4 linked regions of the Rhinolophus ferrumequinum genome follow. The protein of the gene in region 3 purifies or fractionates together with the protein of the main gene of each other region. This does not show direct contact. Links are inferred from orthologs where the notes say so. Each region holds a gene or a part of one and is shown on either strand. Other genes may lie near its edges.

Region 1 (7,046 bases), on a different chromosome or scaffold from region 3:
GACCAGGGGTAAAGGGAAAGAACTCAAGGGTGAGGTGCACGGAATCCCGAGATTCAGCACTCCCAAAACGCGTACTCGAATATATTACTCTCCTGACCACCCCCCAACACCCTTCCCCCCCCCCGCGCCGCCGCGTGTCAGTGCTCCCGGAGCCGAGGGGCTGGTAACCAGACTGGGTGGGAGGAGGGCAGGGAAAGCACGTGGTGACCTCCCCGCCGTCCCGAGCTGTGGACAAGAGACGGGGGGGGGGGGGGGTCGCAAAACTCGATTTTTCAGTTGCTTCGCAAAATGAAAATGTTTTGCAAAGCCGCGTTTCTCCCCAGCGGATTTCGCAGTCGGGTTGGCCGAGAGAAGGTTTGGGTATTGTGCTGGGGGCGAGAGAACCGTGGACCCCGCTGGCGCAGAGTTGCGGCGCGGCCTGCCAGCAGTGCCGGCGGGCGGGCGCCGGGCGCCGGGTGGGCAATCTCGGGAAGGGCGGGGGCGCGGCAAGGCCCGGCGAGGCCCCAGCGAGGCCCGGCCGCGGCAGCCACCCGTTCCCGGGCTGCCGCGCCGCGCTCGGTCCTCTGTCTGTTTGTTGGCAGGAGGCTCCCGCACACGCGGTGCTTGTAAACATTCAGACACGAGATTTTTCCCAATCAAAATCCACTTCCACTTTTTTTGAAAATCTTCCAAAAAATAGTAAGAGGAGGGAGTTCCTCGCTCCCTCTCCGTGCCGCCGGCGCTCTAAGTTTGCAACTAAAGAGGTTTTGGGGAAGGGGGTAATTGTATTTCCCCCCCCCCCTATTTAAAGAGTGTGAGATTTTTGCGGTGGGGGGGGAGTCAAAGAGGAGCGCGTTGCAGAAACTGCCCGCGGAGCGTTTGGCTTCTGTTTTGGGGCAAGAAATTTTACATTCTCTTGCCTTGTTATATTTAGTTTTTAATTTAATTTGATTTAATTTTGCGCGTCTTCTATCCGCCACTGAGGTTCTCCCGGGAGTGGCGGGCAGCCACAACCCGGGCGGTGGCGGCACCCGCGCCCACCCTCCCTTTCTTGCTCACCCCCGGCCCTTGCTCCTGCCCTTCGGCGGCGGCGGCGCGGGAGGGCAAGCGCTAGAAGCCGGCACAAAAGGCAGCGGGACAAACACCCACCTCGGGCCGGAACAAAAGGCGGCAGCGCCGGCCGCGTCTCCCGTCCTTGCCGGTCGCCCGGCTCTCCGAGCCGCCGCGGCCCCTCTCCACACTCCGCAGACTCCAGAGCGCCGGGGGCCCCATCCCACAATCCCACTTTCTCACTATTGTGGAGATGACTACTTTCCTCCCGGTGCACACTTGACCGTGAGCGCGCTGATGTCCGAGGGCCAGTCTCACCTCTTTTCTCACTGGGAATTGTTTTTTAGGCTTGGGTTCTCTTACCCCCCCCACCCCGTTTTCCTTCCTTCGATGAGTGGAAGCAACCCCCCTTTATCCTCCAGTTCCCTCCCCTAGGTTTGCAAGAGAGTTGTTCGCATCCATACATAGCATTGTTCATTATTTTGCAAAATTAGAGGGGAAATCATTGCATTCCTTTTCGAACAGCGAAATAAAGCAGCGGAAAGCAGGAAAGAGGAGGAGTCAAATTTTTGTAAAATTAAAAGGTGCGTGCTGTCCCAAAAGTACATACGGCTATGATTCGAGATGGAATGAGGTTTGCTTTTTTTCCCCCTCCCTTTAATCTCTTTTATCCCGACTCTCGGAGGTTTTTCTCGTGAAAAAATTTTAAAATGCATGCACACACCCCTCTCCCCCCCTCGCTCTTGCTTCTGTCCTGCGCACTCTCGTGATTATTAATAATTATTATTACTATTATTGGGTTACTTACGCGAGAATTCCCGTTTGCTTAAGTGCTGGGGTTTGCCTTGCTTGCGGCGAGACATGGTGGGCTGCGGGGCGGGCGGGCGGCTGCGGCGGCGGCGGCGGCGGCGGCGGGCGGACGACGGCTCGGTTCACATCGGGAGAGCCGGGTTAGAAAGAAGGAGACTCCAGAGAAAATATCTTCATCAGTGCCTTTTGACATCCAAAATAAATTAGAAATAATACAAAGATGGCGCAGGGAAGATGAATTGTGGGAGAGCCGTCATGGCTTTTTTTTTTTAAGCAAAAAAAAAAAGAGAGAGAGAGAGAGAGAGAGAGAGAGAGAGAGGAGAGATAGAGGGGGAGAGAGAGAGAGAGAGAGAGAGAGAGAGATGAAAAAAATGGCAAAAGCCCCCCTGAGCTGCAAGTTCAAGTGCGGACGTGACGTCCCTGCGAACTTGAACGTCAGGAGTCTGGATGGACAGAGACACACAAAACATGGGCAGGGCGAGCAGGAGAGAGGGGAGGAGGGAAGGGGAAGCTCACACCAATGGACACACATCAGGGGCTGGACATGAAAAAGAGACCAGGACAAGCCAATGGCCAGTGCGGGGCGGGGGAGGTGCGGGGCGGGGGGCTCCGCAGATGCCAGACGCGGCCCCCGGGGGAGGGGCAGGCGGAGGGGAGGGGGAGCTGGGGCCGCGGGCTCACGAGTGGCCGCAGCCAACGCCGAAGCGGCGGCGTGGCCCGGGAAGAAGAAAGGGGCGACGGGGGGGGGGGTCAGGGGTTGGGGGCAGCAAGACGCGCTCCCTCCTCCTCGAGCACACGCACCCCAAAAATGAAAGATTTTTTTTTTTTTTATTAAAAAGCTGGCGTGTACGGGGAGACTGCAGCCCCGGGCCGAGGAAGCGCGGGCGGAGGGAAGCCAGGTAGAGTTGCTCCCGGACACCCTCCTCCGTGCGCACACCCACTTCCCCTCACCACTGCCGCTGCGCTCTCTCCCCGCGTGCGGACGCCGGGGCCCAAGTGAAAGCCCTGAGCCGGCGGCTGCGGTCGGGAAACTTTGCCCAAGGAGAGGATCGTAAAGAAAAATCACCCGAAGTTGAGAGTTGAGCCTCCAAGTTACAGCTTCGCAGCGGGCGAGGGGAGACGGGAGGGAGCGCGCGGCGAAACAGAGTCCAGCCCAAGTTTGGAGGGTGGCGGGTCCGAAAGGGCAGCCCCCGGGCTTCCCGGAGCCCTGGCTGCCTGGAGAGAGGGGCAAGGGCGAGGAGAGTGGTGCAGGCCTGGGTCGGAGGGCTGGGAGAGCGCCCCCAAGGCCAAACTGGGGGTGGAAGGGCTGTGGTTCTACGCGCCCCCACAAGCGATTGGGTCTGGATGCAACTAGAAGCACTGAGTCGAATCTCCCTAGGGTGGCGGAGAGAGGCTGAGGAATAAAGAACCCGGAGCCAGACTGGGGGCACGTTTTGGTCCCCGGAGGGGAGAGCCGGGGCCCTGGGCTAGGGAGGCGCCGAGGCGTCCACTTCACCGAGCGGCCGCAGGCCAGAGGACAAAGCACCGGCAGTCCCGGTAATTCCAATCCCTGGGAACGTGCTCCCGGCATTGAGCGAGGTCCCCGAGCCGGGTCCCAGGGATGGACACACCCCCTCCCATTCCCGAGCAACTGCAAAAGCACTGAGGAATAGAAAGAAATGTTTCTTACGGGCAGAGCACAACTATTCCTGTGCTGTTACCCGGGGAGAGAAAATGGGGAATGCAAAGAGAACGGCTGTCTCGCTGGAGCTACGGGGAGGCCATGTGGTGGGGTGACCGCCGGGGGTCAGCGCCGTGCTCCTCAAGCGCTCCTGGCCAAGGCGCACACGCTGGGAAACGGCAGCCCCGGTCTGGCCTTTCTGCAGACGTTCTCGGGAAATTAGGGAAGACCTGTTGGAAATAAACCCCTGTCTCTTTAATGCGCGCGCGCACGCGCGCGCGCGCACACACACACACACACACACACACACACACACACACACACTGCCGCTGTCAAAAAGCGGGCTTCACTCTGGCGTGGGATACTTTCAGTTTTACGTGAAATGTACAGCAACAGCACCCCCTGCGATTGGAAAGTTTATTCAGAAACGTGCCTGCAAAGTCCCCGGCGTCTCCCGCCTCCCAGCCTCCCTGCCTGCCTGCGCCACCCTGTAGCTTCAGCCGCCGCTGCCGCCGCGGAGACCGCGCTGCGATTGCAAATCCGGAAGGGCAGGGGGGAGGTGGAAAAGGGACTCAAGTCCAAGGGAGGCGCAAGCTTGCAGGGTGGAGGCAGGTGGCCGCAGCCCGCGAGACTCCAAGCTGCAGGTGGACGTGTGTGAGTGTGTATCTGCAGAGCAAGCAGTCTCCCCTGTGCTCCAAGGATTTCCACAACCCCTCGTGGTTCTCTTCCCCCTCTTCAGTCTAAGGGCCGTCTTTTTCATAAATTCGCCCACCCAGCAGGGGCTTTATTGTTTTAAGCAAGGGCCCCCGCCTTGCAATCGCGCACCCACTTCCCAGTCGCGCCGGCAAGCGGCTGTTTATTCATGTGTTGTCTTAGTAAAGTTTCAAACCTATTAGAAAATGACTGGCTTGCCTAGCTCGGTGAAGCTTCGGGCCCCTCTAAGGAAGAAAAGGAGGTTTTGATGCTCAACATTAGGAAAGATGTTAAGCTGGACTGAGTTAGTGTAAATGTGGTTTGTTGTTTCCTCCAGCTTGGGGGAGGAGGGAGACTCAAATCCCGTTTAAGAAGCAGGAAGATTTCACTTTCAGTAAAGCTCTGTAGATTGTGCGTTTGTGCGTTACACCATTTCCCCCTTGTCATGAGTTCTTCAGACCAGGTCAGCTTCTTTCTTCCACTACTGTCTATTTTTTTGTCTTGTTAAACTAGCCTTAAAGCGACCAAAAAATGTCTTTGCGGAGTTGGGGGAGGGGGCTGGGCAGCGGGACTTGGAGGAGAATGGTTGGAGGGAAGGTGAGCAAAGGGAAGAAGAAAGTACAACTGGGAGGCCTTTGAAAACAAATTGAAAAATAAAACCCCTTCAGGTAACAATAGTGAGTCAGATTCTTTCGGAACCGAGTTTTGCAAATTTAAATATTTTCCCCATCCATCCATAAATGTCCATACACAAAGAAGGTGTATAAATGGGCGAATGTGTGTTGTGGAAATATATATGTATGATTTATATATAATGGTATGTATAAAGCTTTTCAGGGTTGGCTGTAGTGTAAAAGTAATGACTTATTACCTCTGAAAGGTTCTGTGGTTCACATTTAACAGTCTTCTGAATTACAATTCATTACACAATTGTGTGCTCTCTAAAACTGGCACCCTATCAGGGCCGCTATCTGTGGTTATTTCCAATAAATAACTGGCAACATTTTATTGATTTTCTTTTTTAAAAAAATCATAGGAAATTAAGCACTTAGTTACAAGTAGGTCTGCTATGTTATTGCACTTGTTTCAGATTCCAGGGGGTTCCTTCCGAAACCACATCTTAAAACATACATTAAAAACCCAGTTTTGCAGCTGCTTTCCCTGGGTGCCAATGCAGAGGTAAGCAGCAACGTTTCCACCATTAACATATATTTCATTTCACCATCATAAAATGCCCCTGAGTGAAATAGGAAATGCCCTCCGCTCCCGCCCCTCCCCCAGCCTGATTTCACCCAGTCCAGAAAACCAGGGCTGTGTATAGGCATTTGGTCCCTCCTGGTCGTGGACCCCCACTCCGGGTTCCTTGGGCTAGTCCCTAGGAGTGACGCCCCCCTCCCTCATTGGGGTTAGATGCTCGCTAAAGCGCCCCAAAAGTGGGGGAGGGGAAGGGTTTTTATGTGTGCTTAAAGAAATAAAAATGTGTTGTTTTAAGAGCTTTAAAAATATTACATAAGTATTGATTAATGATGCAGGTGGTTTTGTAGAGGGGTGAAAGGTCACGTTAAACGCGCACACGTGAATACACAATAAGTATATTTACCTTTCCAAAAGTGGCTTTTAGAAAGTAATAAATTATGACAACGTTAAAATTATTTTTTGGCCGTTCAGTTAACTTCATTTGGAGCTGTAGAACCTTTGCTGGTTCCACTGAGGGGGCAATTACGCTCCGTGGGCTTTTTCCCAAACCTTTGGTGACGACATTGCGTGTAAACTCCAGGCCAACCGAGGACCCCTCCCCTCCCCTCCGCCCCCTTTTTATCTTGCCCGCGGAGGAGAGACTCCCCAGGACTTCCTCGCAGTATATATTCTGCCTCTGATCTCCGTACTTAATAGCCAAGTCCTGGTTTATGCTTTATAATGTGTTGACAAGTTTTCTAACAGACTTTCTGAAATAATGCACATATATTCACGTCGGTTAGAAACTCACCGTATTTTTAGAGTCTAGTAGATCTATACTCTAATGCAGTGAGAGAGTGTAAATCATAGAGGATTTCATAGTCCTTTCAGTAGTTTTCGGTATGAAGTATGAGCGCGTGGCCTCCAGACGTAACCTTTTAGAAAAAAAAGACAGTTGCTTTTATTTTATGGTGTAAAAGTGCTTTTAGCTCCAGGGCTCTGAACGTGAATGTGGTCAACAAACAGCTCGAAGAGGGAGACTTAATACAGTCCCAGCCCTCGTACAGAGGATCGCCTGGCGCGGGGGACTTGGGCTGAGCCAGAGAATGAAGGGTTAAAGGTCCGTCTAGAAGGAAACTACAAGATTAATGTAAAATATTCACTGTCTGCCTTTAGGGGGAAACCACCTTTATGAACTTAAAGATAAATAAATGAATGACTGAATGAATGATGGTTTAAAAATGCAATCGATCCCACCTTGCTTTTTCACTTTTTTTTTTCCTAGAGGACAGTTTAGAAGATAGAGAAAGGGCAGTCATCTCATAAAAATAAAACTTAGGTATAGATTCTACATTAGGCATAGGTTTTGCATTGGGGTTCTTGAGGGTAGGAGTACTAGGATTTTGTTTAGGACAAAGGAAATATTAATTAAAAAAGAGAAGGGAAGAGGGTTGTGTGAGAGGAAGGGGATGGGCTTTGTGTAGGCACCTCTAAATTGAAAGGTGAGCAGAAGGCCACAGTCCCCTCTTTCCTCAGACTCCCTAAGCTCCTAAACACCCACTCCCAGCCCTCCACCCCTCCACACACATAACATGTCTTATTCCTCTACTTCCAGTGTGATCCAGAGCCTGGGACCTGAGGAGGCCCCTGGAGGGGCAGTGTCCACATCTTCTGCAAA
Region 2 (7,927 bases), on a different chromosome or scaffold from region 3:
TAACCCTTGGCATGTCCTTTCCTCCCTCGACATTTGTCTTCTATTCTCAACTTACACTTTTCTCCAGAAAAAAGCTAAAATATGTTCCATTGGAGGGACGTGTTATCTTAATAAATCCCAGAACACTGCCAATGTCTACACAATATGAGGTAAACTGCCTCAGTTGGATTTTTGGTGCTATTACTTAAAAAGGTTCTCTGCTAGACCCTCTTATGAGATAAACAGTCATTTCTACCTAACTATTTTCAAGTACATGCTGGTTTTCAGACATTTCAGAGCTCAGTGGCCTTTGGGAGGGGAGGAGGAAGGAGGGTGGTAGCAAAGGCGCTAGTGTTTATTTTTCCTGTTTCATTTTTCTACAACAGCTAAAAATTCTTGTAACACAGCATTTACTTAGAATTGAATTCCTGCCCAAGCCTGTGAGAATGAAATAGAATCCCTCTCAGAAAAAATGGCTCTACACCACCACCTTGAAACAAATTGTGAGTGATTCCACCTCGAAACCCTACTCCTTCAGAAGCATTACCTTTGGGGAACGCTAGTGCCAGGCTTAGGCTGTCTCTCTTCTACACAGTGTGTGGGAAACAATCAACACAGCTCAACACAGGTTTTCCAGTGGGGTCACTAGGGAAATGGAGCCCCAATTGCAGCAGCGCAGTCGTTCAGATGTGATGACATCCAACGGTTTAAAAGAACTGGACACTTCTTTTTTTTTTAAGGACTGAATAATATTATTATTGTAAGCTGCTCAAGGAAAGGCTCCCAACAACCTACACAGAAGGTAGGCAATGTTTTGAAGAAGATGAATTCACTGCTGTCTTACAATGAAGCATTTCACTTCAACATATGTCCCATCTGGACCACCTCAGTGTCTAGCCAGTTTACTTTCAGATAAATTCCATCCATTCATTCATTGATACGAGAGTTGTAGTAAGAGAGCCCCCAACTACTTAAAAATAGCATCTTTTAAGAGTTGCAAATGTATTATAATGAACTTAAAAAAAAATTGGGGGTGGGAGGGAAGAGCCTGGAAGAAAGGGCAAGAAAGATTTTGTATTTATTAAAGACTTAATAAAGTTTATGTATGGGGCTTGGAAATTAGATAATGGGTTTAAGAAATTAACCAGACGTTTAGGTGTTGTGTGACTTTGGCACTGTCACTCCCTATCTGGGCTTCAGTTTCAACTGTAAACTCGGCAAGTGGAAAAGTGGGACTCCTTTCAGTTTAACAATCAATCTCTGATTTCCCCCCACCAGTGGAGAGATTTTCTGAGAGAGAATGGATGTGAACCACCTAAGCTCCTAGCTGGTCTATCTGAATATTAAACACCCCCTTAATTCATTTCCAGTTCCTAATTGTGAGGCAGGCACCTAAAGCGTGCAGCAACAGATGTCAAAACTAAAAAGTTCTCAATTGGTTGACAATAGGTTCATCTTTAGAATTGTTAACTAGAAGAGGTGAAATCACACAGGAAAAGTTTTCCTATAGGTAGGCACAAAACACAGGGCAAGTCTATTCAAATTAACCCCCCCCCCCCAACTCCCACGCATTTCTACGGAAGCTACCCCTTGATTTTCTTCCTTCTAGTGTCTTCGACTGCAAGAACCACCTCCCAAGACCTGGTCTTGGCCTGATTTCTGCCACATCCTTGAAAATCCCATTTCCTCACAGCTGCCTGCGAAGCAGAGAGCTCCGGGATCGTCTGCAGAAGCCGAGGCCGCGGGCAGCCAGGGAAGTAACTGCCACCTTTCCTTTTCTGAAGGAATAACAGGGTTCCGTGGAGGAGAAGTTGGAGAAGTGTCGGGTCCCTTCACCACCCCTCCCCAATACTTGCTTCTTCGTAGGCCAACACAAGGAACCCCCTCTCCCTGCTTCAATATCTAAACCAATAAAACGAGCTAAAAACTGTTGTCAATCTTCCTAGGCAGGAAGGATCCTCGGAGTCCCCTGCCCAAACCTCCCGGATTTGGGCAGAATCCTGGGGAGAGCACGTCAGCGCTGAAGCGGCCTTAGAAACCCCGAGTCCAACTACTCAGTTAGCAGATAAAGGGTGGCGAGGCCCAGGGCGGGGAGGGCCCCGGAGTCCCGCGGGTAGTCCGAGGGCAGCCGCAGGCAGCCCAGTGGGGGCCGAGGGGGGGTGGGGACACTCACGCTCTTGTCGATGTCCAGCTTGAGTTTCTTCTGTGAGATGCTCTTCTGGACCCTCTTGCTGAAGGAGGCGTTGCCCGCGGGCCGGACGCAGCGCTCGCCGTCCTCGATGAGGCAGCAGCTCTGGCCGTAGCCCGGGGCAGCGGCCGGGGCGGCAGGGGGCCCTTCGCGGCTGTCCTCCTCGGTGCTAAAGCCGTTCATCTCCCCGCCCCGGGCCAGCCCCTCGGGAAGAGGTCACCTGTAGGCCACTCCGCGGCCGTACTCCCCGCGGGGCAGGTCGCTGAGACCCCCGGACCCGAGGGTCCCAGAGTCCGTCTCCAGACAAGGCACTGCACTGCCCCGCGCCCCGGAGGGCCCGCTCCGCTCCGCCACGCTCCGGCTCCTTTGGCTCCGGCCCGCGTCTCTGGAAAGCCCCTTCCTCCCCGCTCGAGGCCCCGGGGTTGACTCCAGCGGCTCGCAGGGCCCCGCCGGGGGTCACCCGGAGGCGCCTTCTGCCGGGGGCCCAGAACCGTTACCCTTCGGCAGGGGCGTCCGGGAGGGCGTCCCTGGAAGCGGCGGCTCCCCGGGGACTTCAGGCCGGGGTTGCCAGCGGGTTTCGAGGGCCCCCGCTGGCTCCCGCCTTCTTTCGGCTGCTGGACAAACTCGCCGCCGGGCAGCTCCCTCGGGGTGGCGCGGCCTCCCCGCGCGGGGCCCGGCCTCGAACCCGCGGCGCCCGGGCCCCGCGGAGTGTCCGGCCCGCCCCACCCCTGCAGCCCCTCGGCTGCGCCAGGAGTCCCGCGGCAGCCCCTGGGCCGCCCGGCCGCCGCCCGCCCAATGCTCCGCACCACAACAGTTCGCTGCCCCCGCCCTCCGCGGGACAGCGGAAGTCCCGCCTCCGTGCACCTATTGGCCGCATTTGCTCTCTGGGCGGGGTCGCCGCCGCCGCTGGCGTTCCCCATTGGGCCCCATTGCCGCCATTCCCCGGCGCCTGGCTACTTCCTGGACTCTGCTGGGATGGGTTCAAAGTAGAGAAAGTGGAAGAAGGAAGAGTTCCCAGGTTGAAGGAGGGGAACCGGGCTGCACTCTCCCTGCCCGGGGAGAGATGGTGACCCGGGGCCTGGCTGGAAGGAAGGCCAGACTCCGGGAACAGAGGATCATATTCGGGACAGACAGAAGTACAGACATGGGCGGGGGCGCAGAACGACTGACATGGAGAGGGACATATTTGGGGGGGTTGGCTAAAGGGGATAGAGGTACTGTCGTGAGAGAGACAGACCAGTTAAAACGGAAGGACAAGGACCAAAGGACCTGCAGACGTGGGAGGCAGGGTAGGTGAAACAGGACAGAAAGCCAGTCATGGCGGGAAAGACAGAGAACAACCCCATGTATATATATGGAAAGATGTAGAGAGGAGATGATGGGAGTTTGATGGCGAGTTTTGCAAGGTAGTGGGATGCTTGAGGGTGGCGGAGACCCCAGTCTGGAGACTGGGACTGACTTGGACCCTGCGGAAAGAGAAGGGAGGGAAGGAGACCCCCAGGGACTTGGGTGACCCCTCCGCTGAGAAGAAGCAGACGTCGGAATAAGGTCTGAAGGGTGAACTACCGTAGGTGAACCGCGGGGACGGAAGAGGTGCTGCGGAGGAGAGGGAAAAAAGGCTGGGGGGTGGAGGACCAAGGGCCAATCTCGGTTTGCAGACACTGGAAGAGCTTGCGGTGTGTTGGGCCCTCCCTGGAACTCTGGTGCGCTGTTAAGCTGTAGCTTCTGTTGCTTTAAGCCTCCTGGTCCACCCGCGAGGTGACCTTGCCCTGCCAAGCCCCTGAGCTTGGGGTTCAATGCCTAGGACGTCACACACACTCAGAAAGTCTGACAGAGAAATCCTCTGGTCTAGCACACTTATTCAGGGCACCTCTCCACTGGGCAGCTTGGGGACAAATGAGAGCCAAAGACCCCCAAGGGACCAGCCCAGGGTCATGAGGTCATGCAATCATTTAGGGCTGGGTAGCATTTTTCTTAAGGTGAGGGGCATGGACGGGTCAGGGAGTGTTAGGTGAGCACAGGTACCAATTTTGGTAGGACTACGTGGCATTCAAGAGAGATTTCTGGTTTGTGTGCTGTTGGAAAAGGGCAAGCTACCTGTTTCCATGGTTAGAAGCAGATGTTCTGTGATCTTAAATTTTCCTCAGTGGCTTTAAACGTACTTGCACCCTCTAGCCTACTAATTTCACATGTGGGACAGCCATTTTAGGAAACTGACCTACTAGAAAAAGTTTTGAACGTAATGTTCATTATGGGATTATTTATAATAGAAAAATAACCTAAAACATCCACAAGGGAAGTGGTTAAATAAACTAACATCTTCAGAATGAGATATTTTGCAGTCACTTGTGATGTTTTCAACTTTTAAAGTAGTTTCAACATCAATATAAACATTTTCTATATATAATAATCCAGCACTGACTCTTCAACAAAGAGTTGATGAGTTGGAGAAATGCTTTATTTATGCTAAATTAAAAATGCAGGGTATAAAATTACATATGAGATATGATGTATGTACATCTATGTTTTAAAAAATAAGAAAAAAGAAAAACTATTTGTACATAAGAAATACATCAAAGTTCTTATGTACTATTTGTACATAAGAAATACATAATAGTAGTTATTTCTGGGGAGTAGAAATATGGTTGATATTTTTCTTCTTTTGTTCTACCTTTGCATTTTCTCCAATATTTATTGCTTTTAAGTAGGAAAAAATAGAATAAAAATTAATGGAAAAAAGGCACAGTTTAATAGCATTCCTTCCTCAGAGTTCATATATTCAAAAGTAAATTATTGAGCATACTGTGTGTACTCATTTCAGGATTGGTCACAGGAGGAGGATGAAACATAATCCTTGCCTTAAAAGAGAATATCTTCTAGCAGGGAAGCTGAGACATATACACAGAAAACAGCTGGGCATCTGTACAAGGCAGTGTGGGATGTTGGTTCCAAAGTTTAATGGCAAGGATAAGAGCTCTACATTTCCCACATAAATTTTGTACTTATTTTTTTCAAACAGCATTTGCGTCCAGCATCAGGCTATTGCACTACACACAGCTTCTTTAGTACCAGCTTCCCCTGGTACCACTCCTGGGGCAGACAGGGTGGGGTGGGGGCAGGAGGCCTGTTCCTCAGGAACTATGTCTTAGCCCCGGGGGTACTGGCTGCTCCATCCATTTGCTATGCCTGTATTCTTTAGAGTTCTCTTCTCACTAGGCAATACCTTGTTACTACAGTCCCGTTATGGTTAATACATCTTTATATTAATCTTTCCCTGTTCAAATTATTGTGTGGTTTCTATCTTTTCATTGGTACCAGACTGATACCCCCAGCATCTATATATTTTTTTGGGGAGCAGGGACGCATGCTTTTAATCTATGCTTTATGGACAATTTTGTAGACTTCAAGGAATGCTTTATCATAAGCTTTCCCCGGGTTATTATGTAGATTCGTTCCAAACAACAATATTTGGAAAAAATTCTGATCCCTTTGCTGGGGGAATAAGCCTATAACTCCAGAAAGGAAACAAACATTCAGATAATGAAGAAATGAATACAGGAGAGAAGCTTCTGTGACCCTTGTTCTGCTTTGTGTTGGATTCAAGATTCTTGAAATAGCCAAGAGAATTTGATTTGCTACATTTAGAAGTCTAGGTAATTAATTTACAACACTGGCTTAAATGTTTAGAGCGATCTTGCTTTTTAGATTTGTAAGTCTGCCCTGTTAGGCATTTAAAGTGTTTGAGAAAATCAGGTACATTAAATTTATAACTGTAGTCTGAAATGTTGAAGGAAATTTGATTAATTAATGCTGTAAATCTCAAATGTTTAAGGAGGATCAAATCTACTAACTTCAGAATTAATTCAACAGTCATCAAAGAACAAGTGATTATTCTTATTTTTATATGAAAAATTACTAGATTTATAATGGAATAATAAGATTTATAAGTTGAATTTAAAGCCTTAAAGAAAAGCTAGGTTTTAAAATGGGCATCTTGAGTCAGCAACTGTAACATTCTTTTCTATCCCCTAACCTACCCCCAGATGTTTAAAGTTGCAGGTCTATAACTCCTAACTGTATAGTCTAAGGGAGACCTCTCCTCTGAGCTCCAGATAGCAACATGTAGTTCTTTGCTTGGAATGCTCTTGAGGGACTGCTGACCAACATGAACAAGTTAAAACCTTCTCTGACACCTGAATCCATAAACTGCAACATGTATCACCTTTACGTCTCCCTTCCGCTCACCATACTCCAAGTCAACTCATTGAAGCACTTCCCTTCCATTAGATATTCAGAATCTGTCCGTCTGTCTCATTTCCTGCAGCCAGCAGCCCAGCCCAGGCCATCATTGTCCTTTGCCTGAAATGCTTCATTGGCCTCTGAGCTGGTCCCTAGGGAGTATCTACACAAACCAGACCGTGCCACACCCCCCTTAAGGCCCCTCGCCAGCTTCCCCGTGTATTCTAACATCTCTCTGCCTCTGTCATCCTTCCTTAAGTTCTTCACATAAGCCAAGCTTCTTCCTGCCTCGAGGTCTTTGCACTTGCAGCTCCCCCTGCCTGGAATGCCGGTCGGCCTGTTCCTCCTATGGCTAGCTCCATCCTTCACGTCTTAATATAAGTGTCACCTCCCCCAGACAATCTCCGCGACCCCTGCCCCTCATTATTCTCTATTCAGTGTCTTTTTTTTTAAAATTAGCATTCATCGTAATATGCCTATTTCATTATTATTTTTGTTGCGTGGCTGTCTCTCCCATGACAATGTAAACTCCAATAAGGCAGGGACCACGTCTGTCCTGTGTGCTGCTATAGCTCCAGTGCATACAACACTAGTTCTCCGATTCTGGTGGCTAACCAAGTAGGCACTCTAAACATTTTTTCAGTAATTAATTTAAATATACCCAACTATATCAAGATTATGTTAAAAAAAGATACAAGGCAGTATGTGGAGTGTAAATTCCACTTGCATTTCTTACAAATTTTGTACACACCTACTGGGGACACATGAGAAACTAGTACTTGTGGTTGCTTTTATGGAGGGGTCTGCATGTCAAAGGAGGGAAGGTAGTGAGAATTTGAATTTTATGACCTTGTTTCCTGTTTGGATATTTTACTATATGCCTGTATTTTCTCTTATAATAATAAGCAGGAAATGTGGAATGCCAAAAATGTAGGAAGAATCTAGGAATAAAGGACAGTCATTTAAGTGGAATAAATTTAGCTTTACGAAAAGCCTACAACATTGTCTTTATTTTCCTCCTTCCACTGAGGACCCGTGAGAGCTTCCTCTGGCTCTGACCCTAGTCTGCAGCCTGGCACTTAACAGGCATTGTAGCTATTAGCACTGTGGATAAGAGCAAAGGCTCTGGACTCAAGCACTTGGTTTGAATCCCAGCTCTGCCACTTTACTAGCTATAGGATCATTCACAGCTTTCTTAACTGTATGAACCTCAGTTTTCTTCATCTGTAAAATGGGACAATAGTACTTCTCTTATAGGCCTCTGATGAGTATCCAATGTGATCATGTAAAGTACTTAGCACAGTTGTCTTGCACAAAGTAAGTGCTCACTAAGTGGTAGTTATTTCATCCATTATACGCTGACACCCTAAACTTCCCACTGTTTAGATTTCTGCATGTTAGGGAAGAAGACATCCTATCGCAATATGGCAGGATGGTCCTGTTTATCTGCCAGTTGTTCAGTTTCCACACAGGCAGTCTCCACATCCATCTGCACAGCCAAGATTGGGAAGGTGCTTGATT
Region 3 (7,253 bases):
AGGGGGATTTATTTTTCACTCTATGCACTTTCGTACCATCTGAATTTGAATGACTGCAAAGCTTTTTAGGTAGAGATTAAATTAGTCTCAATACATTTAAGAAATTATTTAATAAGGTAATATAAAATAATGATCTACCAGTTTTGAAAAGTAATTTAAGAAACACCTAAATAATTTAAAAAGCCAAATCAATTATGTGGACAATTACCTAACTCAATTTAAGGACAACAGCTCAGAAAGTGCAAGTAATCATTCAGAAGAAGGTTGTATGTAGGCAGAAGGCCTTGTGAGGTTGAGTAGGGTCGAGTTCCTCAAAGACCCAAGCCGTAACAGCAGCCAACATTTCTACTGCTCTGTATAGTGACAAAACACAATCACAGTCCCTTTATACCCCAAAAAGAACCCTGCAAAGCACACACAGCAATCCTCAACATCCAAGAATGCAGGCTGGCTGGCATTTTCTTGCATTCCCAGAGCCACTGCACGTCCCACAACCAGATCCCACTTCTTTGCATGCAAAGAACACCATGGAATACATAATTTACTTACAGTATTTTCTGCTAAGTTCTTAAGTGTTCATATAAAAGCAATACCTGGACTGAAAACATACAGATCTATTATCTTTAAAAAAATCTTTATGCAAAACACATTATAGGTACCATTTTAAAGACTTCAGTAAGCAGCTTTCATTGAAATCCAAATGGAGAAACAGTGTTACTGCATCCTCTCTAACAAATTATTTCTGAATAGGAGTCAGCACCAGTCACTGCTGTGTACTTACCCTGCACCAGCACTTTAACATGCATGATCTTATGTAATTCCCTCAAATGTAAGCAGTCAGTACAATCAGCACCTCCATTAACAGACCAGACAAGTCAGGGATAGAGACTGACCAACTCGCTCTAAATTCACAAAGCTACTAAAAAGGGGGAGGATTCAAGCTCAGGTCTCTAACCTTAAAGCCCTCACTCTTTGCTATTGTTATAGTCAGTCAAAAAGCTCCAAGAGAATGTAAATTAAGAGAATGTAAATCCGCTTAATAGGAAGACTCAAAGAGTCAAATGCACAGGAGTACCCTTAAGTAACTGATGCTCAAAGTTATTTTAAATGTCAACGTTTAGAAGTCTCCATTATTTAGTTCTTGGCTACTCTTCCCACATCTATATTTTTACCCTGAGATTTCTTTGGGAACTTAAAAGGAAGCCCCTAACTGTATGGAAGTCAATGTTCATATATGGAGAATCTGGCCATTATGAGTAATTTTATATAAAATTAACTTACTCTATTTTTGTAACTTGTTGCAAAATCCCGTTCTAGATTAGAGTTTGATTAATCCTCATTAAATTATATGCACACAATACCCAAGTTTAATACGCTTCTAAAGTGCACGGTCAAGTTCCTACAAGAAAAAGTCCAAATGTATGAGGAAGGTTGTCTAGTGCAGGGACTACCTGAACTCTGGGGCTACCTTTTAGATTTGAAAGCCCCTCTCCACCATTTGCCATCTGTGCGATCTTAGGCATGTTACTTAACATCAGTAAAACAAGGATGATAAAAAGTAATCAAAGTACTTATTCTCAATACTAAACCAAACAACAGAAGGTAAAAAACTGTAGATGTGCCAGGCCCTGTTCTAAGTGCTCAATAAATGTCAGCAATTATTACCAGAGAAATTTTAGAAATAGCTGAAAACAAAACACGCTTATGAAGACCAACAGCAACCTCAAAGTGTATTTCATACTGTAAGCCAGTAATGTCACTTTTTTTTTTTTTGAACTGTTGCTAAATTCTTTTCCCCTTTGCTAATTAAAACGTATGCATCTTGGGGGCTGGTTATATGGGTGTGTTCACTTTGTAAAAATTCATCAAGCCACATGCTTATGATTTGTGCACTCTTCTGTACATTTATTTTTCAACAAAGTTTGAAAGAAATCCATTCATCTGGGCCCAGAGAGATGCTGTTTCATATTTAAGCCCAAGAAATGTTAAATATATCTGGTGCTTCCAGCAAATATCATTAATCTCACAACAGATTCTTTCTCCCACTTCAACGCCACACTTATACATCAGAAATCATCCCATAAACCGCTTGTTAGTTTTGAAAATAAAAAATCACCTGCCACCTCATCCAAGGGCTAAATTGATTACATGCTTATGTTCTACATAGAAAATGCCAAAAGTAGGAAATTCAGGCCAACAGTGAAATTTGTGCAAAATAAAAGTTGCCAGGAACCCTTACTTAGTCACTTCAGGAAGCCACTGAACGGTAAGACTTGGCCACTGAAGAGCATGGGTCATAACCAGGTCATACAGAAACGGTGTATTCTTCTTCCAGATTTTATATTCTTCATTGATGACACGCTCCTCCACAGTATCTTCAAACACTGAAATTTGGAGAAAGCCCATACGATTAAAGGGTTGAGAGGGATCGAAGTCAAAACCTGTACACAGATACTGGAGGTCACCTCGAGAAGGCCACACCTAATCTACTCTTTCTCTTTACCTCTAATTTGGACTCGAACAACTAACTGCTCTTCCAGAACATGGAGAGAATATTAATACCAGGAAGCTGATTTTTTGCACTTTGAGATCAATATCGCCTGCGTATACAGAACTGGGTAATTACACGGACGTCGAAATTGTTTTGCCGATTACAGCCGTTCGCACCTGTTCTAAGATGACGACCCGTTCGTAGAGGGGCTCCACGACCCACCCAGGGAGACGAATCCACGTGTAGCAGAAAGCCACCGACCCGCTCCCTCCATCCCCCACAAGAGGCCTCCGCTCCCACAAAGCCGGCTTCGGCAGCCATAGACCGGCGGGTTCCAGAATTCCCCGGACAAGGGCCGCGACCCCGAGGCGTCGACGCGCGCGTGGAAAGAGCCGCCGTGCCCGCTTTCCGGCGGCGAAGGCCGCCTCCGCTCGGGGGCCGAGGGCGACGGAGGGAGCGCCGCCGCCGGAGGGGGGGGCAAAAGGGGGGAAGGGGGCCCAACCCGCGGCCCCGCGCCCGACTCCGGAAGTGCTCAGAGCCCTCCGCTCCGCGCCGCGTCCCGCGTAGGCCCCTGGAGGCGCTCGCCCAGCCTCGCGCCCGGCCCCGCCCCCTGCTCCGCACGCCAATTCGCGCCTTTCGCCGGCGCGTGCCGCGGCCTCGCGAGCCCGCCGCCCCCCGCGGCCCCGGCGCGCGCCGCCCCGCAGGGCCTCTTACTCTCTTTACTCGCCATCTTGCGTCGGGTTGTTCGCCCCTCGCCGCCGCCTCGGACTCCCCTCGCTTGCCAAGAGCAGCCCAACTGCAGGCGCTCCTGCCTTTCCCAGGCGCGCCACACGCTTCTAGTTCTCGAAGCCTGAGCTCTGTCTCACGGCCTGGGTGCTCCCCAGACGCCGAGTCCTTCTCTCCCGCCTCCTCCCCGCTTACGGGTACCGAGGACTGAGGAGCTCTTCTCTCTCTCTCTCTCTCCAAACTTGGAACGAGACTTTTCAACCCGCGCCTCCCAGCCCGCCCAGGCAGCTGAGCGCAGGCGCACCCGTCCTGGGAAAAGTAAGAGGCGGTAGAGAGGCGGGGTTGAGAGCAGACGGCATCGTCGTCTCGACCAATGACGTTTGATAGGTAGGTTTCACGCGGCGTTTGGAGGCGGGCTTCTGAGGGTAGGCGGGGCGTTCCGCCACAGGAAGTTGGCGAGGCGCAGGCGCGAGGACTCGCCCTGCGCTCCCAGGGCCGGGCGTGGGGGCGGATGGGGGCGCGCGGGGGTGGGGCGACTGGAGGCGAGGCTTGCAGGCTGCGCGGGGGCTGCGAGCCCAGGAGGCGAGCCCTGAGGCCGCGGGGCGTGGTTGCTTGCAGCGGCCGCGGCGGTGGGGGTGGAAGGGGGGCAGGGAGGCTGCCACCGCTTAGCCAAGCAAAATCTCAGAGCGAGAGAAGAAAATGGTTTCTAGTCTCGAGAGATTACTGTGCCCTCAAAGTCTCCCCGATAATCATGGGCATGCAATTCTGTGCACCCCGAAAGGTTTCCCTCCTGCCGACTGGCCTTTCCTGAGGCCTGGGCGAGCCTAGGTGGGGTTTGTCGGAGGCAAAGGGGACTTTTTGCAGAGGCCGCGGGCGTTTTGTGAGTGCAGAAGACGGCGGGCCTCCCTGTTAGGTTAAACCTGTGGCAGGCCGCCAAAGGCCCAAAGCTGACTTGAATTACATTTTCGTTTGTTCACACGTTTGGGTCCTTCAGACGATGATTTGCAGCCTCTCTTGTATTCAGAGGATTTTGTCTCTGCACTGGAGTTATTGTCTCCTTCCCAGCCCCGGGCCCCTGCTGAGTCATTCTTAGCACCTGCGGGGTGTCCCAGGGCAAACCCACCCGAAGCTGGCCGGGGAAAGCTGCGCGAAACTAACCTGGGCTGGCTTTCCTGAGCCCTCCTCTGCCTGGGAGCTTGGTAGCCCCTGAGGAGTGCGTTGGGGTGAGGAGAAAGCGGGCTGCAAGGCTAAAAGGGCCCGGGGCAGAGGGGACGGGGTAGGAGGAGGTGGTCGTGGTGCTACGTGCAAAGGGAACAATAGTCTATATCCAGACTCCGAGAGAGGCTCTCCCTGCATAAGCATCTCGCGGAACATTTGCTGCCTTGATATTTTCCAAGTGCCTTCATGCAAGTCACCATGGTGATTTTCAAACGAAATCGTGCATTTGCCGCTGTGATGCCCACTTTTCTGATCGGGAAACAAACCCAGACGTTAAACCTAGTCGGTGGCAGAACCACTCATATTACCTTATATAGAAATTTACTGTCGGGTGTCTTTGGTTTCCTATACGATATGCCTTCATGTCAGGCCCAGGAATCTTAAAAGACCAAAGCCGAGGAGGGGAGGCGCTGGAGAGGGAAGACAGTTGGGAGGGTGTTTAAACAATACAGCCATGCTCATGTTTTAGGATACTCGTTGGCAAACGTTTCTCTAACCAGATCGTATTTCAGGCTTTGGGGGCAACCACTCAACGGCCGCGTTGTAGCGAGAAAGCAGCCCTGGATAACATGGGTGAACCTGGCTGTATTCCAATAAAACTTTATAGACACTGAAATTTGAACTTTATGTAGTTTTCATGTGTCACAAAATATTCTTTTGAATTTTTTCAACCACTTGAAAATGGAAAAATTTTTGGCTTATGGACCATACAAAAACAGGCAGAGGGTTCAATTTAGTCGGAGGACTGTAGTTTGCCCACCTTGTTCTGGAATAATTGTGTCTTACAGCTGTACTTCAGTGGGTACCTCCTCACGTGCACAGCAAGAGAAGGCTTGGCAGACGATTTGATTTCCAGTCTCCCTTTAATATATTTTACTTATTTCTGATGGGTGAGCATGATTTCCAAACCTTATGAAATGTTTAAAGAGTTGAAAAATTTTACCAGACGATGTTGCTTTAAAATCTTTGTACTGTTCAGTTCACTGAGGGTCAGAGAAGGGAGTATGAAGCAGATACTTAGGAGTTTCTGAAAATATGCAGGCACTATCATATACTTAATCCAAAAGTATCATGTACAGCATATTGCATTAGCTGTGTGTGTGTGTGTGTAATCTATCAATTCTGTTTCTCTAAATTTTTTTTGGTCTTTTTTCCAGTCAGGTACCTTTTTTGCATCAAAAATGTAATACCAGTTTTCTCTTTTAAATTGTTTTAACTGTTCAGTTTTGTTTTTTGCCTTTCACCCCGACTTCTTAGCTCTGGTCCTCCTCTTTTCTCCCACTTTCTCTGTGGTTGCCTTTTTGTCTCACTTGCACTCAGCTTAGTCTACTCGTCGAGTAAGGCACCAATAGGTACATGCACAAGGTGTGGGCTACCTTAACTGAGAGAGGCCCTATTTAGGCACCTACCTTTCTCTAAGACTGCTTACCTCAAAGTTGCTGTAGTGTTAACCATCATTTCTCCATGCTGATGGTGTTTTACAGACTAGTACACTTTTATATAAACTGAAACAAGTTACACCAAACAGTGCTGACCTTTAATATGTGTGATGCACGCTGGTATTTTATTTCATTTTTTAAATATGCAAGTTACCCTTTACATTAATTTTGTGATCGCACTTAGTCACAACTTGGAGTTTGAAAAACACAGGACGCTAGGATAATTTTGAAACCTCTAGCTAGTTGCCTGAACACCCTTTATAAAATAGTAGCACTCCCTCATCTTGCCCCCACAGGTAATCACTCTCTGTCCCCTTTATGTTTTTTTCTCATAGCACTTATCATAACCTGACACATGTTTGTTCATAGGCTTTCCTCCTACACGAGAATGTAAATTGATGGCAGGATCTTTGTTTTGTTGTATTCCCGGCACCTGGGCCAGTGTTTACTAGATGAGGAAGCTCAGGCAGAGAGTGGTGAAATTTCTTGCCAAGGTCACATAGCTAGTGAGTGTTGGAGTTGGAATTTGAATTCAATCGGTCTTATATTAAGACAGCAAAAGTGATTGTGTTAGAATGAACTGCTTACCAAAAGGAATGAGAGAGGGAATATCCCCAAACATGGCTGCCCAGTGATTCTGTGTTCATTAGCATCCCTGTCTCACTAGTTTTTGGAGAAAATCTTAGCCATTCAGAAATATTTTTGAAGTACCTACTGTGTGCCAACTGGTGTTCTGGAGATACCTGGAATGAACAAGACATATAGAGCACCTGCTCTTTTATACATTCCTTTATCATTTGATTTTCTTATTGCAAACCAAAGCTCATTACAGAAAATCTGAAAATTACACAAGCAAAAGAGGAGCATAATGAAAACCAATTTTGTTTCTGGCCAAATCATTTTCATTCAAATCATTAGCAGCAGCAGAAAATACACAAACACATTAATAGCCATTGTCTCTTGGTTACCGGTATTATTGTGGATGATGGTTGTTTTATTCATATGTTGCTTTATTTAAAAATTTTCTCCAGTGGACAGGCATTACTCTTATAAACAGAAAAACCCCCATACATTTTAGGAAAAAATGTATAAACGAATGGTAGAAGAGTAATGCAGACAAATGAAAAGTGTTGTCTTAGTGTGATAGAATGCTAAGTAATTTCTCTTAAAATATTGTTTAATGCAGTTGTGTGAGAGAGAGCTGAAGGAAAATTATTGTAAAGTAAAAACTCACTGTACTTGTTTGAACCTATACTTTGTTTTCATTTACTATTGTGATATTTAAGTAAAGTGAAGTAATTGTTTTGTACTTCTAAGTGTGTTAATATTTAATCTTTGTAGGGTGTCCCTCTGGATTTCTGAAAGGCCAACTTACCCTG
Region 4 (7,213 bases), on a different chromosome or scaffold from region 3:
AAAGAACTGCAATAGTGTAAAAGTATGGAACCTCTAAGAAGCCTTTGCTAACTCAATTTCCTTAATTCACACAGCCTCTAGGTGGAGTACACAAACATGGCACCTTTTTGAAAGATTCCTTTGCAGCTTTGGTATGACTCAGCTTAAACTCTAAAAAAATACTAAATAATTGCCCAGTCTAGGTGCCCTGGGAAGTGAAGTATACAATTGGAAGTAAGTGTTTTCTTGACATTCGTTATTGTAAAAATTCTGAGGTGATTCAGCTGGGTTATGAATTGATTCCAGTTAAAAATGGAACATAGTGCTGCTTCTATGAATGGCAGGTTTCAACCATCCAATGTCAAAGCCCTGTAACATCCTTCAGAATTGGCTCCTATCATGGAAAGCATCACTTGAGAAATACCTGAAATTTGAAGACCTTCTAATGCCTAAAACACTGTAGTGTTGGAATGGATTGATCAATAATTTTTCTTGTATTTACCCATTTTTATATCCAATTGACAATAAAATGGAAAAATTACAGACTTGGGTATAAAAAAATGGTCCTGGTAGCTGAAATGTTTATAGTAATACTAGTAGAAAGGAACCAAATGGTTTCAGAGTAACAAGAAAAATCCCCTTTAATTTTTATTATCAATGGCCTATTTAGAAATTATTTTAACAAGTGAATCATCTTCCAAAATGTGCACTACAAGGTATATATACAGAGGGTGCCAAAAAAAATGTATCCACATTTTAAGAAAGGAAAAAAACTATTAAAATTGTAATAATGTATACCCATAACAAAAGGTGAACACAAGTCACGTTGGACTTCAGCAATTACGAGGTGCTCAACGTGGTTACCATCAGCATCCAGACACTTCTGATTACCGGAACTACTGCTTGAGCAATATTGACCAGAGTCATTGTATACATTTTTTTGGCACCCCAGTATATGTGCTATGTGCTTCATATGCGCATTTAAACTTTATAGAGGAGCACAGATTAAAGTGTTAATTATGGTTACTTATACAGGAGTGAGATGGGGAAGGCACTGAGTACAGAGGACTGTTACTTTATATATGTGTGTACAACTTTTTAAAAGTTTATTTCAATGAGCGCGTATTTTTATAATTTAAAAAATTAACACCCTACGTAAGATACTTCTTACAGATTAAAAACTAATTTTCATAGTGAAATGCCTTACATGACTTAATTAGCACAATAATTTAAAATGAACTTTGCTAAATAGATTTCTAAGTTCAAAGAAGTTATGTCCTCTATTTAGTTGTAAAATTACCACTGAAGTTAAACGTTTTCCCCCTCAAATTTCCAAAATGAAGCACTGGATTATTTTTAATAAAATCGCAAAGATTAGACCTTGGCAAATTTTACTTTTCTAAATATTTATTACTGCACATATTAAAACTATCTTCTTTAAGACCTTAAAACATACTTAGAAAAAATAGTAAAATTTTTTGCATTGCCATTAGGACTTTACCTTTTATCTCCTAGCCCACTTTTGTGTTTTATGTTCAGGATGTTTGGATGTGGAGTTATTTTAATTAGATTTCAATACGTTCGTGAAGAAAGTGTTCTTTCAGATTTAGAAGCCAGTAATTAAGTCCTGGTAATTAAGTATTTTCCTTATTTCTACTCTTGGGTTAAATGTAACTTTCTAGCTTAACAGTATTTTTGTTCCTGAGAGAGAGAGAAGATTTCAGTCATTAAAGGAAAGGAGTCCACGTTGTTCGAGGCGAGCCTGCGCGCGAGCATCCCGGGCGCTCCGGGCATCCCGGGCGCCGGCCAGGGAGCACCCACGGCCCCCGGGGAGCGCCGGCGCCCGGCCCGCGGCGCCGAGCCTGCGCCCGCCTCCCCTACTGGTTGGTCGAGGGAGCCAGAAATCAGCGCGAAGACAGCCTCGCTCTCCTCCCCAAAGCGGCCGGGAATGGCCACCCAAGAGAGTGCGGGGACTCCAGCGTAAGCCCTAAAGATGGATTTGCCTTTCCACTCGGGGGCCGGAAGGTGGGCAGGCGGGGCGCCGTGTTCGTCACCCGCGGAGAGGAGGCGTCGTGACGCCGGGGTCGGTGGCCCACTTCTTTACTCTGGGTAAGATGGCTCCGCTGCTAACTCGCCGGCGCGACCACACACATGCTTACCCCTTCCCAGCCTTCCCGCGGGGACCGTGGAGGCCGTTCGCGGCGCGGGGCCAGCCCGCCGCGACCCCCGGTCGGCTCCGCCGGCGGGAGTGCGGGTCTCGCGAGCCGCCGGTCCACCAGACAAAGCTGACAACATGGCTACCTCTGCTGGAACAAGTTCCTAGCAAGTTGAGCCGCGGCAGGCGCCCGGGCTGCGGCTGAACGCCTCGCGCGCCTCGGTGCCGTCGTCCATCAACTTCAAGTTTCCCTCCGCAGAGCCAAGCCCGGAGCCCGCAGCCCGCCCGGCGCCGAGCACCGGCCGCCCGCGCGAGGCCGGGCCCGGGAAACTTTCAACGTCTGCAGCCCGCAACTGACAGCCCGGCGACGGGCGGGCGCCCGACTCACCTTCAGACAGGTCCTCGATGCACTCGAAGGTGATCTCGAACTGGAATGGGTTGTAGAAAGGAGAAGGGTTATCCAGCACCACTACATTGTTCACCTGAACCTTTGCCATATTTTGAAAAAAACAAACAATGGGAACGGGGGCTTGTTGCGGCACAATCAAGTCCAGCGCGCGGCCGCCCGGGAGAGCGCAGACCCCCGCCGCGGCGCCGGCCCGACGTAGTGCAGCGGCGACTTGAGAAACTTTTTTTTCCTCTTTTTATTTACACGGGAACACTCCACAGTGTTTTGCAGCTTTCCTATTTCACTAAACTACAGCCCATTCTGCTCTGATAACTAGCAGCGTTGCTCGCGATTGGCTGCACCCGAGCTCTGACCCTCCTCCTCCACCGAGGGCCTTGGCGGCGAGCAAGATGGGCTCCCGCTCCCTGAATGGACTCGGAAACTTTAACTGCGGCTCCACCTGCTGGTGTGGATTAGGACAAAGGCAGAGAACAAAGTGAGTGGAATATGGGTTGGGAGGCCCGCGCGGAGGCCGCCGCCGGCGGGGGGGGTGAGGGGGGTTGGGGGGAGGGTGCAGGCCCCGCCCCCGGCCCGGCGGCTCCCGCGCCTCACGTCGGGCGTGGCCGCGGCGGGGCGGGGGTTGGCGATGGGCGTGGGCACGGCCGTGGCGGCGAGGGGCGTGGCCATGGAGGGGAGGCGTGCTCGCGGCTGCAACGGCGGCGGGGGGACGGGATCTTGTGTGACGCCCGCCCCTCGGGGTTTTTTTTGTGTGTTTTTCACTCTTTTTACAATAGTCCAACGGCTATACCGGCTCTCTACTGAATTTAGCAGATGTGATTCGGTTGTCTACACTAGGTTCAGCTGTCTGTGTGTTGGGTAATATTTCGGGTAGAGAGAAGGGTTGGTTGCAGTGGAAATAAATTGCGTTTTGTAGACCAATGCCATCTCGAAAGGAGCAAAGCCATTTTGGAAAGCTAGCTCTTAACCCGGTATCTGCGTTTGGGCACAACAGCGGTATTAGTTAAATGGAAACAAAATGAAAGGCGAAGAGACGCTTTTGCGCACACACTTTGCTTGGAAAATCGGAATAAATAGTATTTGGGCTGCAACTGGGTCTTCCTTTCCTATCTGGAAAGTCCTAGAATAAGAAAAAGATTATACTAGAGATGTGATCAGTTACACCCCTGGTTGCTGCCGTTTGGTGTGAGTAACAGGAACATAAAAGGAGAAAATGGAAGTATCGGGCGACCAAAGAGCAACAAATACAATCTGAGAAGGGAAAAGGAGAGTAGAGAACACAAAGGCATACCAAAGACATGTAATTTTCAAAAAATGTATGACCTAAACTGTTAGTAAATAAGAATTTGTAGCACTTCACACAACTTCTGGGAGCCTTTGCTTTATTCAATGTCGATTCATTTATGCTGCTTGACTACCATTGTGGAGAAAGGGAGAGCTTTTAACACATTTGTGAGATTGAACTGTTTGAATCTCTAAGTAAGAGTGGCATAAAGGTTTGTGTTATTACCTGCTTTTCATAAACCATCGTTTTTTCCTTAAGTGTTGTGACTGAAACCACTTAAGTTGGCTAATTTCAGAGAGAAAATTCTTAAGTATCACCTATGCTGGAAGAGTTTTCTCTTAGTATAGTGCCCAGAATTTTGAGTTGTCATTGTTTGGGCATTGTTCATACTTAAGTAGGTTGCTTTTGATGAGACTTCTTCATCTGATAGTCTCTTGAAAGTTAATATGGGACAGCTAATACCAGGCCTTCCCACCTTTAGGAGAACTATTTAGAGTGTGGGTCCCATTTTATCGTCAATGCAGTCAAATAGGACCTACTAGAAATGGTTTCCTCAAGCCCAGTTGTTTGTGTGCATTAGCATATGAGTCATACTGTGGTGAGAGGCACAGATTACAATGACTAATAAACTATTCTGTGTTCACTCTTATTAGTTCGGGTCCTAACGCTCGCTATGATAAATTGTAAATTGCTGTATGCTATACAGCGCACTAAATATATAAGATAAATGACTGAAAATTAAAACATGACTCCCTTAAGAATGGTGTGTGTAGTTTTCTGATTATTTTATATAAAATAAAATGCATTTTGCAGTCTGACCATAGTTGTGTGATAATAAGGTACATCTACCATAAAACTTGCTTTTGGTGAACATGCAACATCAAGAACTGAGAATATCTAACAGGATATGGGTTGTTTTCTTTGAAATCTTTTAACGTGTCATATACAGCACTATTGAAAGTGGAAGGAAAAACCTCCCTAATAGTTGACTGGAAGCCACAGGAATTGGCCCCAGTCCTCTCATATTGCCTCTCCTGTCTTAGCTGTTTTATTACTGCTCTTCAAAAATGTTGAACTGGGGGCCGGCCCGGTGGCTCAGGCGGTTAGAGCTCCATGCTCCTAACTCCGAAGGCTGCCAGTTCGATTCCCACATGGGCCAGTGGGCTCTCAACCACAAGGTTGCCAGTTCAATTCCTCGACTCCTGCGAGGGATGGTGGTCAGCGCCCCCTGCAACTAAGATTGAACATGGCCCCTTGAGCTGAGCTCACTCCTGGATGGCTCAATTGGTTGGAGCGCGTCCTCTCAACCACAAGATTGCCGGTTCGACTCCCGCAAGGGATGGTGGGCTGTGCCCCCTGAAACTAGAAATGGCAACTGGACCTGGAGCTGAGCTGCGCCCTCCACAACTAAGACTGAAAGGACAACAACTTGAAGCTGAACGGCACCCTCCACAATTAAGATTGAAAGGACAACTTGACTTGGAAAAAAGTCCTGGAAGTACACAGTTCCCCAATAAAGTCTTGTTCCCCTTCCCCAATAAAATCTTTAAAAAAACAAATGTCAAAGAATTTTTGAGCTCTCTGTCCAATAGTTTTCTCACCATTGGCAATACAGGAAAGACCAAAGAGACTCCCAGATGTGCCCTGGCATATTTCTAAATTACCTGGCATGTTGTAGGGGGGGAATTGTAAAAGCATCATTCTGCTTTCAGAGGCAATCTATAAAATCTTTCTGAACAATTTTTTGGTGACTCTCAAACAGCTAACCATATTTGCAACAGGTAAGTCACTATGAATGTTGTCATGTATTAAGTACCCAAGGGGGCCCACATGATGTGTGGAGAGCTACATTGAATGTAACACCCAAATTGCTTCTTTCTGTGCAGATTACTTGAGGGAAGGATGGCTGGAAGAGGTTGTTTTGTCTCTTAAGATGAACAAAGCCTAAATTAGTGCCTAGGACACAAATAAATGAACTTTGTTAGCTCTTGTTACAGGCCAAATTGTATCCCCCTCCCAAATTCATATTTTGAAGTATTAACACCCAGTACCTCAGAATGTGACTATATTTTGCGATAGGGCCTTTAAAGAGGTAAAGTTAACATTTAGTCCCATAGAGGCCCTAATCCAGTCTGTAAATGGTACCCTTCTACATCGAGGAAATTTGAACATATAAAGGGTACACATGCGCAGAGGAAAGACCATGTGAGGACACAGCAGGAAGGCGGCCATTTGCAAGCCAAGGAGCTAGGCCTGAAAAGAAACCAACCCTGCTGATACCTTGATCGTGTTTCCCTGAAAATAAGCCCCAGTTAAGATTGTCAGGCAGTCGGCCGCATTTAGTATGTTAAGACGATGTTCCAGGAGAAGATGACATGACTGTATTTGAATAAATGTAGATTGTTGTACATGAAAAAATAAGACATCCCCTGAAAATACGCCGTAATGCGTCTTTTGGAGCAAAAATTAATATAAGACCCAGTCTTATTTTCGGGGAAATACAGTTGTACTTCTAGCCTCTAGAACTTTGAGAAAATGCATTTCTGTTGTTTAAGCCGCCAGTGTGATATTTTGTTACGGTAGCCCTAGCAAACTAATACAGCTATAATTTTTTTTCCCCTTCAGAATTAGGCTTACTTATAACCTAAATTTATTTCATCCAATTATTGGTCAGTTATCAAGTACTTTCTGTGGTGTGAAATGAGGTGGTCATTTAGCCATGCCAGTAGGGTGTGGAGTGGTGTGCTGTAGCTGGTCTTCCATGAATGAGGTAGGCCCCGCTACTGCTGGGCATGCAGCTTAAATTCTGAAGAGACAAGACGCGGCTTGCTTCTGTGATCCCAAGCTCCTCTACAGAGGGCTTCTGAGAGTCTTAAACTAGAAGTTAAATTGAAATCACACACAAAGCAAGATGGCAGAATGAATTAAAATGTACTAGATTTAAATTGGATTAAGTTAAAATACACTGAGTTAAAATGTAGTAGAGCTAAGAAATCAAGTCTCAGTCCCTGCCTGCTGCAGAAGTTACAGGAATGAAAGTGCTAACTTCTTGCCTTGGTTCAAATCCTAGAGTCCACCTGTGTTAATTACATCATCACTGTTGAATTCTCTTTAAAGAAACACTTGCATTGTTACAAGCCAAATCTTTTTTACAAAAATTTTATTTAAGGATTGTTGTAATATCTTTAATTAAACTTAAAGGGCTTCCTATTATTATTAGTTACAGGATGTCAAAATTTAATGATAGTTTTAACTGAAATTTTATATTTAAAAGTACAGTGTCGAGATTTGCTAGAGTTTATAACCATTTCTAGAAGGAATAAATGCTACAGTAATGATCTTAATAATAACTCATTGTATATAGAGAGAGCATTTGTTGTGTGAAAGT

Evidence for each region. Proteins that work in one complex are often made in the same cells at the same time.
Region 1: the proteins of RBBP7 (region 3) and BCL11A purify together in Homo sapiens (affinity purification with mass spectrometry; 4 studies listed by BioGRID and IntAct, counting the BioPlex papers as one, with this or other methods). This does not show direct contact. The link is inferred for Rhinolophus ferrumequinum from reciprocal best matches to the Homo sapiens genes RBBP7 and BCL11A.
Region 2: the proteins of RBBP7 (region 3) and SAP30L purify together in Homo sapiens (affinity purification with mass spectrometry; 3 studies listed by BioGRID and IntAct, counting the BioPlex papers as one, with this or other methods). This does not show direct contact. The link is inferred for Rhinolophus ferrumequinum from reciprocal best matches to the Homo sapiens genes RBBP7 and SAP30L.
Region 4: the proteins of RBBP7 (region 3) and ASF1A purify together in Homo sapiens (affinity purification with mass spectrometry; 5 studies listed by BioGRID and IntAct, counting the BioPlex papers as one, with this or other methods). This does not show direct contact. The link is inferred for Rhinolophus ferrumequinum from reciprocal best matches to the Homo sapiens genes RBBP7 and ASF1A.

Annotation. Positions count from the first base shown.
Region 1 is NC_046296.1:28,338,339-28,345,384, reverse strand, and holds the start of BCL11A (B-cell lymphoma/leukemia 11A), read right to left. Parts: upstream 3,017-7,046; 5' UTR 2,906-3,016; intron 2,329-2,905; exon of another isoform or gene 2,023-2,328; 5' UTR 1,893-2,022; coding exon 1,838-1,892; intron 1-1,837. UniProt on the Homo sapiens protein: Transcription factor. Associated with the BAF SWI/SNF chromatin remodeling complex. Binds to the 5'-TGACCA-3' sequence motif in regulatory regions of target genes, including a distal promoter of the HBG1 hemoglobin subunit gamma-1 gene.
Region 2 is NC_046307.1:25,425,633-25,433,559, reverse strand, and holds the start of SAP30L (histone deacetylase complex subunit SAP30L), read right to left. Parts: upstream 3,017-7,927; 5' UTR 2,351-3,016; coding exon 2,153-2,350; intron 1-2,152.
Region 3 is NC_046284.1:113,990,604-113,997,856, reverse strand, and holds the start of RBBP7 (histone-binding protein RBBP7), read right to left. Parts: upstream 3,017-7,253; 5' UTR 2,813-3,016; coding exon 2,668-2,812; intron 2,385-2,667; coding exon 2,240-2,384; intron 1-2,239. UniProt on the Homo sapiens protein: Core histone-binding subunit that may target chromatin remodeling factors, histone acetyltransferases and histone deacetylases to their histone substrates in a manner that is regulated by nucleosomal DNA.
Region 4 is NC_046286.1:69,169,596-69,176,808, reverse strand, and holds the start of ASF1A (histone chaperone ASF1A), read right to left. Parts: upstream 3,017-7,213; 5' UTR 2,632-3,016; coding exon 2,523-2,631; intron 1-2,522. UniProt on the Homo sapiens protein: Histone chaperone that facilitates histone deposition and histone exchange and removal during nucleosome assembly and disassembly.